Linked DNA regions of Anolis sagrei. The protein of the gene in region 2 interacts with the protein of the main gene of each other region in a pairwise test. Links are inferred from orthologs where the notes say so. Each region holds a gene or a part of one and is shown on either strand. Other genes may lie near its edges.

Region 1 (8,078 bases), on a different chromosome or scaffold from region 2:
GCTAACACAGGCATGGGCCAACCTGGACCCTCCAGGTGTTTTGGACTGCAACTCCCACCATTCCTAACAGCCAATAGCCATGACAAGAGACGCTGGGCTTCCTTTCAGTCCTTTAATGGCAGAGGAGAGCCTGCCCTGGGCCCCAGTTCTTCCTTCCAGTCCTTCAAAGGCAGGTGGGCTTCCTAGCAGTCCTTTCAATGGCAGGTGGGCTTCCTTTCAGTCCTCCAACGGCACAGAGCCCCTCCTTCCAGCGTCCCAGTCAGGTGCTCAGTACCAGTTGGTACAAGAGATGAGATAGCGGACGTCGTCCAGCACGTCCAGGAGCCAAGCCTGGCAGCTCTGGGCCAGGGGCTCGGCTTGGGCGGCCTGGGGAGGAGGAGGCGGCGCCATGGCGGGCTCTGGAGGGGAAGGGGCGCCTTCTCCCGAGGGAGCGGCCTCCCTGGAAGCTTCCCCGGGGTCTCCCTTCTCCTCTGCTTCCTCCTCGGCCTTCTCCAGGGTCGGGACGGCGGCGCTCATCCTGCCCTTCGCCTCCTGCCAAGGGAAAGGTCTCTTGCTCTTCCTGCTGCTGCTCCTCCTCCTCCTTTGTGATGCAGGGAGAAGGAGGAGCCAGGGTGGGAGGCGACGCAAGCACCCGGCGCAGGGCATGCCTAGGCTGGAGAAACAACGTTGCCCTTTGGCACAGCTTTAAAAGCCATGCTATGGGATCCAGGGAGTTGTAGCAGAGGCCCCTATGAAATCCATATTATCTGGACCACTCTGAACAACCACCTTGTCAGGCTGCACAGAGAAGCCACTGAAATCCACAAGCGTGTGGTCAGTTTCAACAGAAAGGAGGAAACCATGAAAATGTACAAAATCTGGCTACCAGTATTTTTTTTAAAACCCTCTATAATAAAGAGGAACACTGGAAAAAACAAAGAAACAGGGAACTCCAGACAATAAACAATCAGGGCCAGCTAACACCTCCCAACAAAGTATGGTGATAGTATGATAGCTGGGTCCTGAAGCTCCGAATTTTATGGAGATGCCACAAAGGCGGCTGTGAATAAGGGAAGAGAGGGGGCGGAGTGAGAGTGCGGGAGAGAAGGATGGATAGAAAGGAGGGGACACTTAGGGTAAGGGTTTGGGTTTGGGTAAAGGATTAGGCTTAGGCTTACGGTACGGTTCAGGGTTAGGGTTTCACCATTAAAGTACTCTTAATGTATTATCTGTCTCCGGCCTGGCTTACATTAGCTAAGCATCTCTTGGACAAACAGCACTCCCGAAGGAGCGATGCAGCACCTCCATAATGCTCGGAGCTTCCGAAACCAGCTATCATACTATTACCCCTAACCCAAACCCTAAACCTTACCCTAACCGTAACCGCTAACCCTAATCGTAACCCTAGCCCTTACCCTACCCCAAACCCTAACCATAAAACTTACTATAACCCTAACCATAACCCTAGCCCTAACCCTTACCCTACCGCTAAACCTAACCATAAACCTTACCCTAACCGCTAACCCTAATCGTAACCCTAGCCCTAACCCTTTCCTTACTCCAAACCCTAACCATAAAACTTACACTAACCCTAACCACTAACCCTAATCATAACCCTAACCCTAATCATACACTAACCGCTAACATTAATTGTAACCCTTACCCTACCCCAAACCTTAACCATAAACCTTACCCTAACCGCTAACCCTAATCATAACCCTAATCGTAACCCTAACCCTCACCATAAACCTTACCCTAACCGCTAACCCTAATTGTAACCCTAACCCTTACCCTACCCCAAACCCTCACCATAAACCTTACCCTAACCGCTAACCCTAATTGTAACCCTAACCCTTACCCTACCCCAAACCCTAACCATAAACCTAACCGCTAACCCTAATTGTAACCCTTACCCTACCCCAAACCCTAACCATAAACCTTACCCTAACCGCTAACCCTAATTGTAACCCTTACCCTAACCCTCACCATAAACCTTATCCTAACCACTAACCCTAATTGTAACCCTAACCCTTACCCTACCCCAAACCCTAACCATAAACCTTACCATAACCGCTAACCCTAATTGTAATCCTAACCCTTACCCTACCCCAAACCCTAACCATAAACCTAACCGCTAACCCTAATTGTAACCCTACCCCTAACCCAAACCCTAAACTTAACCGCTAACCCTAAGGGTAACCCTAGCCTTAACCCTTACCCTACCCCAAACCCTAACCATAAATCTTATCCTAGCCCTCCCCTCTTTTCTCTCTGGACCACATGGTCCCTTCCCTTATTCACAACCGCCATTGTGGAATGTGCGTAACACTCGGAACTTCCGGACCCAGCAACCATACTATCACCTTCTTAATAACTACCATGTCAGACTACACCGAAAAGCCATTCAAATCCACAAGCATGTGGACAATTTCAACAGAAAGGAGGAAGCCATGAAAATGAGCAAAATCTGGCTACCAGTATTTTTTTTAAAAACCCCTCTAAAATTAGAACAGTAAATAAAGAGAAACACTAAAAAAAAAAAAACAAAAAAAAAACGGGAATGCCAGACAAGAAACAATCAGGGCCAGCTAACACCTCCCAACAAAGGATTCCCCCAGGCAGCAACCAGCCAGGATTTGAAGGTGCAAGGCTATTCAGTTCTAATAAAGGTGATCAATTGCAAGATTCACACTTACCTCAAACAGACAAGAGTTCTTTCTTTCTTCCACCCTGGACATTCCACAGATAGATAAACCCCACTTGCCTTGTTTCTTCTGAGGATGCCTGCTGTAGATGTGGGTGAAACGTCAGGAGAGAATGCTTTTGGAACATGGCCATACAGCCCGGAAAACTTAGCAACCATAGAGTCATATAGTTGGAGATCTCGTTGGCCAACCAGTCCAACCTTCTGCCAAGAAGCAGGAAAATCACATTCAAAGCACCTCCAACAGATGGCCATCCAGCCTCTGCTTAAAAGCCTCTAAAGCAGGAGCCTCCAACACACAGAAGCTTCCACGACTGAACAGCTCTCACAGTCAGGAAGTTCTTCCTAATGTTCAGGTGGAATCTCCTTTCCTGTAGTTTGAAGCCATTGTTCCGCGTTCTAATCTCCAGGGCAGCAGAAAACAAGCTTGTTCCCTCCTCTCTATGACTTCCTCTCACATATTTATACATGGTCATCATGTCTCCTCTCAGCCTTCTCTTCTTCAGGCTAAACATGCCCAGCTCTTTAAGCCATAGTGTCTGATCTGAACTGGATTATATGGCAGTGCAGACTCAGGAAGAAGGCGACAAGGGACAAGGAGCTGATTTAATTTGATTAATAAATAGCAAGAGTATGAAGAATGCGTTTGATTAAATAAATAGTCTCAGTCTTTTCATGTAGAAGAGATCGATAGAAGAGTTTGTCAAGACAAACATACAGGAAAAAGACTCACATTTTATTATTTTGTATTATTTTATTGTTTTGTATTATTTGTTGTTATTGCTTTTATTATTGATGTATTGTGGGCTCGGCCTCATGTAAGCCGCACCGAGTCCCTTGGGAGATGGTAGCGGGGTATAAATAAAGTATTATTATTATTATTATTATTATTATTATTATTATCATTGTCAAAGGCTTTCATGGCCGGAATCACTGGGTTGTTGTAGGGTTTTCCGGGCTATATGGCCATGTTCTAGAGGCATTTTCTCCTGACGTTTCGCCTGCATCTATGGCAAGCATCCTCAGAGTCTGTTGGAAGTGGGAAAATGGGTTTATATATCTGTGGAATGACCAGGGTGGGACAAAGGACTGCAAGGCACTTGCAAAGGCACTGCAGACTACTTCAACCAGAGAAGTCAGCCATAGCAAACTATGAAAATGAACAAAATCTGGCTACCAGTATTAAAAAACTCAAAAATTACAACAGCAAAACAACAGAGAGTAAACAATCAGGCACATCAAATCACTCTCAACAAAAGATTCCCCCCAGACACTTCCAAGCCATTAAATACTAATCAAGGTGGTCAGTTGAAACATTCACACCTAGCTCCAGCAGACAAAAGTCCTTTGTCCTTCCAGAGATATATAAACCCATTTTCCTACTTCCAACAGACCTCACTATCTCTGAGGATGCTTGCCATAGATGCAGGTGAAACGTCAGGAGAAAATGCCTCTAGAACATGGCCATATAGCCCGGAAAAACCTACAACAACCCATTATTATTATTATAGCACAATAAAAAAAAAACACCACCGAATGGAAGTTGTACGGAAGGAAGGACCCAACAATAAATAACTCGTAGCCTTTCTTAGTTATGCAAAAGAAATCAATTGAAGGGTCTGCATGGGAAATGCCAAATCAGGAAGCTTAGACAGGCAGGGCTATAAACATTAGCTGGAAGCAGTTGTCTCAGGCCTCTTCCACACAGCTGAATAAAAACCCACTTTTTCTGCTTTGAACTGGGATATATGGCAGTGTGGATTCAGATAACCCAGTTTAAAGCAGATATTGTGGCATTTTCTGCCTTGATATTCTGGGTTAGATGGCAGTGTGGAAGGGCCTACAGGGCACTTCCACACAGCCCTATATCCCAGAATATCAAGGCAGAAAATCCCACATTATCTGAGTGTGGACTCAGATAACCCAGTTCAAAGCAGATTTTGTTGGATTTTCTGCCTTGATATTCTGGGATATAGGGCTGTGTGGAAGGGCCCAATATCTACTTTGAACTGGGTTATCTGAGGCCACGCTGCCATATACTCCAGTTCAAAGTAGGTAATGTGGGATTTTCTGCCTTGATATTCTGGGATATGGGGCTGTGTGGAAGGGTCCTCTGAATATTATGATTTTATTCTATATAGGGCATACATTAAGGGTCAAAAGATGGGAAGTGTAGAGTCAGTAAAAGAGCCAAGGTGGTGTAATAGAATGGCAGGTGGTATGGCTTTAAAAAAGGGGGGGGGGAGCGGAAGCGCGAGGCTGTCAAGGGAAAGGGGGATTCCAAAGGAAGTGACGCACAGCCCAACGCAATTGCTACGGACCAATGGGCGCCTGGTATTGGGAATCAGGGGGCGGGAAGAGTGAAAGACAGGCCTAGAAGAAGCCGGAAGAGGTTTTTATTCTTCTGCCATTCCTTGCCGGTCTCCTTGTGGTCTTCCTTGTTGTTGTTGCCAGCTGGCCTCGCTTTCCCTTCGCTCTCTCGCCTCTGCTTCTCCGTCAGCCATGGATCCCGTTGGCGTCGTCCCCGCCGCCGAAGTCAGCCCGGGCCCCGCTTGGCCTCAGAGCAAGGTATGTGGAGCCTGGTCCCTCAGCGCCACCATGACTTTGGAAAGGGGAAGGGCTGGGGGAATTGAAGTTCAGTCACCCGAAAGGCCAAACGCTCGATACCTCTGACTTAAGCCTCTTCCACACAGCTGAATAAAACCCCACATGGCCTGCTCTGATCTGGGATACAGGGCAGTGTGGACTCAGATAACTCAGGGCCCTTCCACGCAGCCACATAACCCAGAATATCAAGGCTGAAAATCCCAAAATAACTACTTTGAACTGGGCTTTCTGACTCCACACTGCCATATATTCCAGTTCAAAGCAGATATCTCAGCAGGTGTTGCTGATCAGGTGAAAAACAACATAGAATAGCGTTGTTTCTTATTGTATTGTCCAACAGAATTACATGCCTTCTCCTACACACACCACAAAACAACACATCCATCCCATCACACCCCCATCACCGCCACACAGCCCCCAATGCCACATCAATGAGATGCCATAGAGTTCAACAAAACCGCAGTTCTAGGACAAAAACAATCCTTCAGTCTGTCTGTCCATGTCTTTGTCACCCAGTATTATCTGTCAGAAAAAAATACTAACAATATGTGGTGGGTTTCCCTCCTTTCGACAAGAATCAAAAGTGTAGGAGCTGTCACTCATTTCCAGTGAGGCAGTGGAAAGGGTGGCACCATTTCAGATGGCAAGTGAAGGGAGGTGACAGGTTGAAAGCTTTCCAATCTAAACAAATAATGAATGGATAGGGGAAGAATGAAGACGGATTACTCAGAAGGATCCTTTCACATTAGGGACTTTCAAGAATGGCATTTGTCACTCCTCTTGCTTTCCTTTAGAAATATTTATATAAATAAAAATGTAATGTTCATTTGTGGGATTAACATAACTAAAAAACCACTGAGCGAATTGACACCAAATTTGAACACTATACACCAGTCAGGCCAACGAGTGACCACTTATAAAAACATTGTAAAACACAGCGGAAGAGACTTAAGAAACCATACATTGAGTATACATATACTCAAATATGTACACACACATATATGCACACAAAACACATATACACAGACTAGGCCACAGCAACACATGGCAGGGGACAGCTAATTTTATAACAATTTTATATATATATATATATATATATATATATATATATAGTTTTACAGCAGAGACCTAATATTCAGGACAATCTACAGTACATTAACTTTTTGCATTTACTGTTATTTTCAAGCTTATACATATTTTCTTACCCTCCCCACCATGTTTCCTCTTGCTTTCCAAAGCAGGACAGCTCACCAGTCTCAAACTAAGGGTGCTGTAGAATTAATGCAGTTTGATGCCACTTTAACTACTATGGTGCGATGCTATGGGATTTTGGGAATTGTAGTTTTACAAGATCTTTACCTTTTTTTTAGGTCAGAGTGCTTGTGCCTCAGCAAACTTCAAATTCTAGATTTCCACAGCATTGAGCCAAAGTGGTGTCAAACTATATTCATTCTGCAGTGGAGATGTATCTTTGATCCTCACAGCTTGAGAGGAAGAATTTAGAGCAGACATGGGCAAACTTGAGCCCTCCAGAAGGCTGTTAGGAATTGTGGTTGTTAGTCCAAAACACCTGGAGAGCCCAAGTTTCCTCATGCCTGATTTAAAGCCTGAATTGATAAACCTGGCCACCTAACTTCCTCCTTATGTTCACAGAGGTGCCATCTTTGTTTTTTCCTGTTAACAGTTCCTGTGCCGATATCAGTTGTGTTGTAAATAACTATTTAATAGGTACAGATTAATAATTGTGATGCGGTGTTGAGTAAAACTCTCTCTCTCTCTCTCTCTCTCTCTCTCTATATATATATATATATATATATCATACATATATTACTGATTAAGATATTTTCCCCCCTACTGTATGCTGCCTCAAGAGGCTCTGGCAGGTTGAGATAGTAAATAAATGTTTTAAACATTACATAAAAAATAAGAAAAGGTTGAAATCCTTTATTCTCTGCTCCAAGATGAGGGAAAACTTTCTAAAAATGGGAAGAATGCATTATGCATGCACTGCTTTGGGGTCCTGGTAGGTTGAGAAGCAACTAATAAGTATCTTAAATATTATATAACAATAGAGGCAACAAATGAATATCTTCAATATATTATATGAAATAGAAAGAGATTGTAGTACTTTATTCTCTTTCCCAAGAGAAAGGAATACTTTTTTTAATAATGGGAAGGACACATTATGCCCTCCTGAAGGGCTATGAATGCCAGCTAATCACTTACGTTGTATTGACAAGATAGTGTCCTGTAATTCCTAGCTAACAGGATTAGGGGTGAGGTGGTACCATCTGGGATAATAGCCAGTTTGTTGTAATGGTTAAAGTACAACCCTCAGCCATGAAGATCATCAGGTGACCTTTTCCAGTCACTCAGCAACCAAACTCACGTCACAGGCTTGTGTAAAGATGAAAAGGAGGGATAAAACATATGTCATCCTGAGGTTTTTATTAAGGAAGTATGGGATCCCTTGATACATTATCTGCCTCCTCCCCAATGTATAATGGGATGGTCCATTAACCTGCTTGTAAATTGTTAATGTGTTGGTGATGTAATACAGTAAAATTAAACCATTTCAAGTCTAAAGTCTACATCCAGATAAGCCTCCCCAGTGTGTCATTACCTGATAAGAGGTTGCAGGTGAAGATGGCTCTAAGGCAGGCAATGAGCAAACAGTAGGCTGTTAGGAATTGTGGGGGTTAAAGTACAAAACACTTGGAGGGCTGAAATTTGCCCATGCCTGCTCTAGAACCCTGGTTCCTAATGTGGGGCATATGCCCCATGGGCG
Region 2 (8,472 bases):
TTATTTCATGCCTGAAGTTATGTGTAAGGAAAGCTGCAAAGCAATGTGTAGGAAGTGGCTCTCACTCCTCGTTCAGCATGCGTCCCCTTTCTTGCTGTTCAACTTTGTCTTATGGCAACTCTATGCTTTTTCAAGTTGCCTATTAATCCACAGTCCTGCTCAGATCTTGCAAACTCAAACTTGCAAACTGTAGATTCCTTAATTGAGTCAATCTGTCTGGGTTTTGCCCTTCCTCTTTTCATTCTACTGTCTACCTTACTTTATTTATCTTTTCTTGTGAGTCTTCTCTTGTCATAAATGTGACCAAACCACTAGAACAATTTCTGTTTGGCTTCTCAGGAGGAGTTCTGGCCTGATTTGATTTGATTCAGGACTTGCAGATTTGCCTTTTCAGCAATCCAGGGTCTCCCTAGAAGTCTTTTCCAAATCCACGTCTCAAATGAATCAATTTTCTTCCTATCACAAGCTTGTAGTATCGCATCGGAGAATATTACCCTGTGAATCATTGTGACATTAGCATTCAGTGATACAGTACTGTATTATGATCTTGACTCGTTCCGTCATTGTACATTTTCCTGTTCTGTAGTGTCTGCGTTTTTTAAAAATAAATCTTTTCAGAAGGTAATGTAAAAAACAAAAAAACACAAGTATGTCCATTTGCTTTTTCTTGATCATCCCTTTCTCTGCGTGCTTTCCAAGCTGAGGTCCCAGCCCCTGAAAATCCTGACAGTATTTACACAGTAGAATCGATGCAGTTTGAACTCCATGCTATGGAGCCCTGGGAGTTGTAGTTTGGCAAGGTAAAGCATTATTTGGCAGAGAAGGCTAAAGACCTTGTAAAACTACAGGTCCTTAGGTTTCATAGCAGTGAAAGTGGAACCAAATGGCCTTAGGCTCCTTCCTTCCACACAGCCACGTAACCCAGAAAATCCCACCATATCTGCTTTGAACTGGGTTATCTGATTCCAGCTCAAAGCAGATAATGTGGGGTTGTATTCAGATGTGTGCCAGGGGCCTTAAATCAACCAGTGCAGATGCGCCTTGGGCTGCCATCCTGCCCCCATTTACTTGGGAACCGGGCTTCTGAAGAGGCAGATACAGGATCGAACTGGAAAAGTTTGTAGTTTCCACCCTGGAGTCTGTTGTCCAAAGTGGAACCAGATGCTTCTAAGGCCTCGTCTACACAGTCATATAATATTTATTTATTTACCGCATTTGTATACCGCCTTTCTCAGCCAGAGGCAACTCAAGGTGGTTCATAGTCAGCAGCGATTCGATACCATAACAGTTATCAAAATACAGTTAAAACAATTATCAAAACAATTCAGCATTTTAAATGTAATATAAAAGAAACAATAATGTCTGTAAAAATAAAATCCTTGGCATCTCCTTACTAAAATCGTCAAATTGCATCATTGGTCGTTCCATATATTGGTTTTCGTCTAATTATGCTCCAGTAGTAAAAGCTTGCTCAAAGAGCCAGGTCTTAACCATCTTGCGGAATGTTCAAAGGGAGGGAGCCCATCTTGTATCCCTGGGAAGGGCGTTCCATAGCTGAGGGGCCACCACTGAGAAGGCCCTGTCTCTCGTCCCCACCAAACGCATCTGCGAGGAAGGCGGGATCGAGAGCAGGGCCTCCCCAGACAATCTTAAAGTCCTAGATGGTTCATAAGAAGAGATATGTCCAGATAGGTAAATTGGACCAGAACCATTAAGGGCTTTATAGGCTAAAGCGGGGAGCCCCCAGTGGCGCAATGGGTTAAACCGCTGAGCTGTTGAGCTTGTTGACCAAAAGGTTGCAGGTTTGAATCTGGGGAGCAGCGTGAGCTTTCGCTGTTAGGCCCAGTTTCTGCCAACCTAGCAGTTTGAAAACATGGTGCTCCATACAGTCATGGCAGCTGCATGACCTTGGAGGTGTCTACGGACGACGCCGGCTCTTCGGCTTAGAAATTGAGATGAGCACCACACCCCAGAGTCGGAAACAACTGGACTTAATGTCAGGGGAAAATCTTTACCTTTTTTACACTAAAATAATCCAGTTTATGATAATCTGGATTTTACATGGCAGCATAGAAGGGGACTAACCTGCCACAGAACCCAGATTATCAAAGCAGATAATCTACATGATCGGCTTTGAACTGGATTATATGAGTATACATTGCCATGTAATAATCCAGTTCAAACCGGATAATCTGGATTTTACATGGCAGTGTAGAAGGGCCTAACCTGCCGTAGGAGCCCCTGGTGGCGCAGTGGGTTAAAGCACTGAGCTGCTGAGCTTGTTGACGGAAAGGTCACAGGTTCGAATCCAGGGAGCGGCGTGAGTTTTCACTGTTAGCCCGTTTCTGCCAATTTAGCAGTTCGAAAACATGCAAATGTGAGTAGATAAATAGGTACTTCTCTGGCAGGAAGGTAACGGCGTTCCATGCAGTCATGCTGGCCATATGACCTTGGAGGTGTCTACGGACAATCTTCGTCTTAGAAATGGAGATAAACACCATACGCCAGAGTTGGACATGACTGGACTTAATGTCAGGGGAAAACCTTTCTAAAGCCAGCACTTTTCAATTTTTTCTGCTTTGAACTGGATTAAATAGCAGTGTACACTAAAATAATCCAGTTTATGATAATCTGGATTTTACATGGCAGCACAGAAGGGGCCTAACCTGCCATGAAACCCAGATTATCAAAGGAGATAATCCACATGCTCGGCTTTGAACTTGATTATATGAGTCTACACTGCCATATAATCCAGTTTGAGACAGATAAACTGGATTTTACATGGCAGTATAGAGGGGGCCTAACCTGCTCCCTCTATACTGCCATGTAAAATCCACATGAAGATAGTACACATGATCTACTTTGAACTGGAATATATGAATCTACACTGCCGTATAATGATCTGGTTCAAACCAGATAATCTGGATTTTACATGGCAGTATAGAGGGGGCCTAACCTGCCACAGAACCCAGATTATCAAAGGAGATAATCCACATGATCGGCTTTGATCCCATATAATCCAGTTTGAGACAGATAATCTGAATTTTACATGGCAGCATAGAAGGGGCCTAATTTGCCACAGAACCCAGATTATCAAAGCAGATAATCCATGTGACTGGCTTTGAACTTGATTATATGAATCTACACTGCCATATAATAATCCGGTTCAAACCAGATAATCTGGATTTTACATGGCAGTATAGGGGACTAACCTGCCACAGAACCCAGATATCAAAGCAGATAATCCACATGATTTGCCTTGAACTGGATATCACTCTACACTACATATAATCCAGTTTAAGACAGATAATCTGGATTTTATATGGTAGTATGGGCCTTAAGAAGCGTTGCTAACAACAAGGCAGCAGGGGACGACGAGATCCCAGCTGAACTGTTTAAAATCTTAAAAGATGATGCTGTCAAGGTGATGCATGCCATATGCCAGCAAATATGGAAAACACAAGAATGGCCATCAGACTGGAAAAATCAACTTATATCCCCATACAAAAAAAGGGAAATGCTAAAGGCAGCTCAAACTTACCTACAGTGGCCCTTATTTCTCATGCCAGTAAGGTAATGCTCAAGATCCTGCAAGGAAGACTCCAGCAATACATGGAGCGAGAGTTGCCAGATGTTCAAGCTGGGTTTAGAAAAGGCAGAGGAACGAGAGACCAGATTGCCAATATCCGCTGGATAATGGAGAAAGGCAGGGAGTTTCAGAAAAACATCTACTTCTGCTTCATTGACTATTCTAAAGCCTTTGACTGTGTGGATCATAATAAATTGTGGCAAGTTCTTGGTGGGATGGGGATACCAAGCCACCTTGTCTCTCTCCTGAGGAATCTGTACAAGGACCAAGTAGCAACAGTCAGAACTGACCACGGAACAACAGACTGGTTCAAGATTGGGAAAGGCGTACGGCAAGGCTGCATCCTCTCCCCCAACCTTTTTAACTTGTATGCAGAACACATCATGCGATGTGCGGGGCTGGATGAATGCAAGGCTGGGGTGAAAATTGCTGGAAGAAACATTAACAACCTCAGATATGCAGATGACACCACTCTGATGGCCGAAAGCGAGGAGGAGCTGAGGAGCCTTCTAATCAAGGTGAAAGAAGAAAGCGCAAAAGCTGGGTTGCAGCTAAACGTCAAAAAAACCAAGATTATGGCAACAAGAATGATTGACAACTGGAAAATAGAGGGAGAAACCGTGGAGGCCGTGACAGACTTTGTATTTCTAGGCGCAAAGATGACTGCAGATGCAGACTGTGGCCAGGAAATTGGGAGACACTTACTTCTTGGGAGGAGAGCAATGTCAGTCTCGATAAAATAGTAAAAAGTAGAGACATCAGACTGGCAACAAAGATCCGCCTAGTCAAAGCCATGGTATTTCCTGTAGTAACCTATGGATGTGAGAGCTGGACCTTAGGGAAGGCTGAGCGAAGGAAGATCGATGCTTTTGAGCTGTGGTGTTGGAGGAAAGTGCTGAGAGTGCCTTGGACTGCGAGAAGATCCAACCAGTCCATCCTCCAGGAAATAAAGCCCGGCTGCTCACTGGAGGGAAAGATACTAGAGACAAAGTTGAAGTACTTTGGCCACATCATGAGGAGACAGGAAAGCCTAGAGAAGACAATTATGCTGGAGAAAGTAGAAGGCATAAGGATGGCATCCTTGAAGCGACTGGACTGACCTTGAGGGAGCTGGGGGTGGTGACCGCCGACAGGGAGCTCTGGCGTGGGCTGGTCCATGAGGTCACGAAGAGTCGGAGACGACTGAACGAATGAACAACAACAACAACATAGAGGGGGCGTAACCTGCCATGAAACCCAGATTATCAAAGGAGATGATCCACATGATCGACTTTGAACTGGATTAGATGAGTCTACACTGCCAGATCATCTGGATGTAGCAGGGACCTAGGATTCCCAAGCATATTTCCCGCCTTTTTGCAGCTGCTCAGCCTTTACTGGGAGGAGCCTCTTTGTCTCCCCGGAAAGTGCTGGGCGGGGCTTTGCACCAGACCAGGAAATTCAAAAAAACCCATTGCGGGAGTCGGAAGTGGCCGAGAAAGAGAGAGATCGGGATCCTTTGAGCTCTTGGATTTTGCTTTAAAGAGGCCCCTTCTCTCATCAGGTTGGCTTGCGTTTCCTTTCTTTCTGCCTTCGGGAGTGGGGTGGGAGGGGAGGAAGCGGGAAGGAGGGCAGGAGGAGTCTTCCTTACAGGCGCCTGATTACAGCTCCCAGGACCACCATGGGGCAGCCCCAAGTGGAGCCAAACTACATTCACTCTGCTGTGTAGATAGTTACAGGTCGTTTTCAGAGAAGGGAGAGTCCTCTGCCACTTCCAGGAAGCCTATCTGATTCACCCCAGAAAACGAAACCCATTTTCTCAAAGCGAAAGTAACTCAACAAGTTCTCTTCCAGGCCGGATTATATGAGTCCCCACTGCCAGATAATCTGGGATAAACAGAAAACCTGGGATTGATCAGATCCTGGGATATATAAGGGCCTGCCTGGAAGGGTCCCAAGTTATAAGGATCTGGAAGGGTATGTCGCAGGAGATTTTGCAGCTCAGCACAATAACACTATGTCACAATTTAAAACAAATCTGTTCCTGGTTTGAAAGTGTTCTTTCCTGTTTCATTTTGTGATATTAGCTACTTTGAAAGTTGTTCTACTCCAGAAACTTCATTTTTGTGGCTGCCACAAACTCGGTTGAATTGGTTGAGACTGGATTGTAAAACTAAGCAAAATGTGCTGCAGGATGTCCCACAAAAGCAAGGTTTTCACAGTTTAAATAAACTTTTACCATGTTTGCATGATAGAACCAATTAGGAAATGACATTTACAACCCAGGAACAAACATTGTGTTACTTATTATTATTGTTGTTATTATGGAGATTCAAAGTGGCTCACAATTGAAAGCATTACAACTTAAAATATACATTATTATTATATTATGTTAGTAGTATTATATTTAATATATTGATATTATATTACAATATTATTTTCTATATTAGATTGTATTACATCATTATTATGGAGACTCAAAGCGACTCTCAATTGAAAGCATTGCAACTTAAAATATACATTATTATTATATTATGTTAGTAGTATTATATTTAATATATTAATATTATATTACAATATTATTTTATATATTAGAATGTATTATTAGAATTATATTGTATTACATTATATTATTATTATGGAGACTCAAAGCGGCTCACAATTAAAAGCATTACACTATAACTTAAAATATACATTATTATTATATGTTATTAATAGTATTATATATTTAATATATTAATATTATATTACAATAATATTTTATATATTATATTGTATTATTAGAATTATATTGTATTACATTGTAATATTATTATTATTACTATTACTATTATGGAGATTCAAAGTGGCTCACAAAAGCATTACAATACAACTTAAAATATACATTACTATTATATGCTAGTAGTATTATATTTAATATTAATGTTATATTACAATAATATTTTATGTATTAGATTGTATTATTAGAATTATTTTGCATTACATTATTATTATTATGGAGACTCAAAGCGGCTCACAATTCAAAGCATTACAATATAACTTAAAATATACATTATTATTATATGTTATTAGTAGTATTATATTTATCATATTAATATTATATTACAATAATATTTTATATATTATATTGTATTATTAGAATTATATTGTATTACATTGTAATATTATTATGGAGACTCAAAGCAGCTCACAATTAAAAGCGTTACAATACAACTTAAAATATTCATTGTTATATGTTATTAGTAGTATTATATTAAATATATTAATATTATATTACAATATTATTTTATATATTGTATTGTTAGAATTATATTGTGTTACATTACAATCTATATTATCTTATAATATTACAATATTAGTAGTACTATATATTGTATATGTGCTGTTTAACATCTACATGAAGCCGCTGGGTGAGATCATTCGGAGTTTCGGGGTGCGGTGTCACCTGTACGCAGATGACGTCCAACTCTGTCACTCCTTCCCACCTGCTACTAAGGAGGCTGTCGAAGTCCTGAACCGGTGCCTGGCCGCTGTAACGGTCTGGATGAGGGCGAACAAACTGAAACTAAATCCAGACAAGACAGAGGTACTCCTGGTCAGTCGCAAGGCCGAGCAGGGTATAGGGTTACAGCCTGTGCTGGACGGGGTCGCACTCCCCTTGAAGGCGCAGGTTCGCAGCTTGGGTGTGACCCTGGACTCATCGCTGAGCCTGGATCCCCAGGTTTCAGCGGTGACCAGGGGAGCATTTGCACAGCTTAGGCTTGTGCGCCAGCTGCGCCCGTATCTTGGGAAGTCTGACTTGGCCACGGTGGTACACGCTTTGGTCACATCCCGCCTCGACTACTGCAACGCTCTCTACGTGGGGCTGCCCTTGAAGACGGCCCGGAAGCTTCAGCTAGTCCAGCGCGCGGCAGCCATGTTGTTAACAGGAGCAGGGCGCAGGGAGCATACAACGCCCCTGCTGTCCCAGCTCCACTGGCTGCCGATTTGCTACCGGGCCCAATTTAAGGTGCTGGTGTTATCCTACAAAGCCCTAAACGGTTCCGGCCCAAAATACCTTGCAGACCACATCTCGGCCTACGAGCCCACGAGGACCTTAAGATCATCCGGGGAGGCCCTTCTCTCGGTCCCGCCTGCCTCACAGGCACACCTGGCGGGGACGAGGGAGCGGGCCTTCTCGGTGGTGGCCCCCTCGGCTGTGGAACACCCTCCCTACTGAAGTTAGACAGGCGCCCTCCCTTATGGCCTTTCGTAGGAGCCTGAAAACATGGCTCTTCGAGCGGGCCTTCAATTGAGTGCTATATCATTGGAAATGATGACCGGAATGGACTATGACTATGAAATCGACTATGACCCCAGGATTTGACGAAGCGGATTTTTAACATAAGTATATGTTAAGCGAGGAGGAGCTGAGGAGCCTTCTAATCAAGGTGAAAGAAGAAAGCGCAAAAGCCGGGTTGCAGCTGAACGTCAAAAAAACCAAGATTATGGCAACAAGAATGATTGACAACTGGAAAATAGAGGGAGAAACCGTGGAGGCCGTGACAGACTTTGTATTTCTAGGTGCAAAGATTACTGCAGATGCAGACTGTGGCCAGGAAATCAGAAGACGCTTACTTCTTGGGAGGAGAGCAATGTCCAGTCTCGATAAAATAGTAAAGAGTAGAGACATCAGACTGGCAACAAAGATCCGCCTGGTCAAAGCCATGGTATTCCCTGTAGTAACCTACGGATGTGAGAGCTGGACCATAGGGAAGGCTGAGCGAAGGAAGATCGATGCTTTTGAGCTGTGGTGCTGGAGGAAAGTGCTGAGAGTGCCTTGGACTGCGAGAAGATCCAACCAGTCCATCCTCCAGGAAATAAAACCCGTCTGCTCACTGGAAGGAAGGATACTAGAGACAAAG

The links.
Region 1: the proteins of caspase-10 (region 2) and RIOK3 interact in binary tests that used the Homo sapiens proteins (3 or more experiments, as listed by UniProt). The link is inferred for Anolis sagrei from reciprocal best matches to the Homo sapiens genes CASP10 and RIOK3.

The regions. Positions count from the first base shown.
Region 1 is NC_090024.1:59,771,439-59,779,516, reverse strand, and holds the start of RIOK3 (serine/threonine-protein kinase RIO3), read left to right. Parts: upstream 1-5,028; 5' UTR 5,029-5,185; coding exon 5,186-5,251; intron 5,252-8,078.
Region 2 is NC_090021.1:164,450,277-164,458,748, forward strand, and holds the start of caspase-10, read left to right. Parts: upstream 1-5,009; 5' UTR 5,010-5,132; intron 5,133-5,237; exon of another isoform or gene 5,238-5,545; intron 5,546-8,472. UniProt on the Homo sapiens protein: Involved in the activation cascade of caspases responsible for apoptosis execution. Recruited to both Fas- and TNFR-1 receptors in a FADD dependent manner. May participate in the granzyme B apoptotic pathways.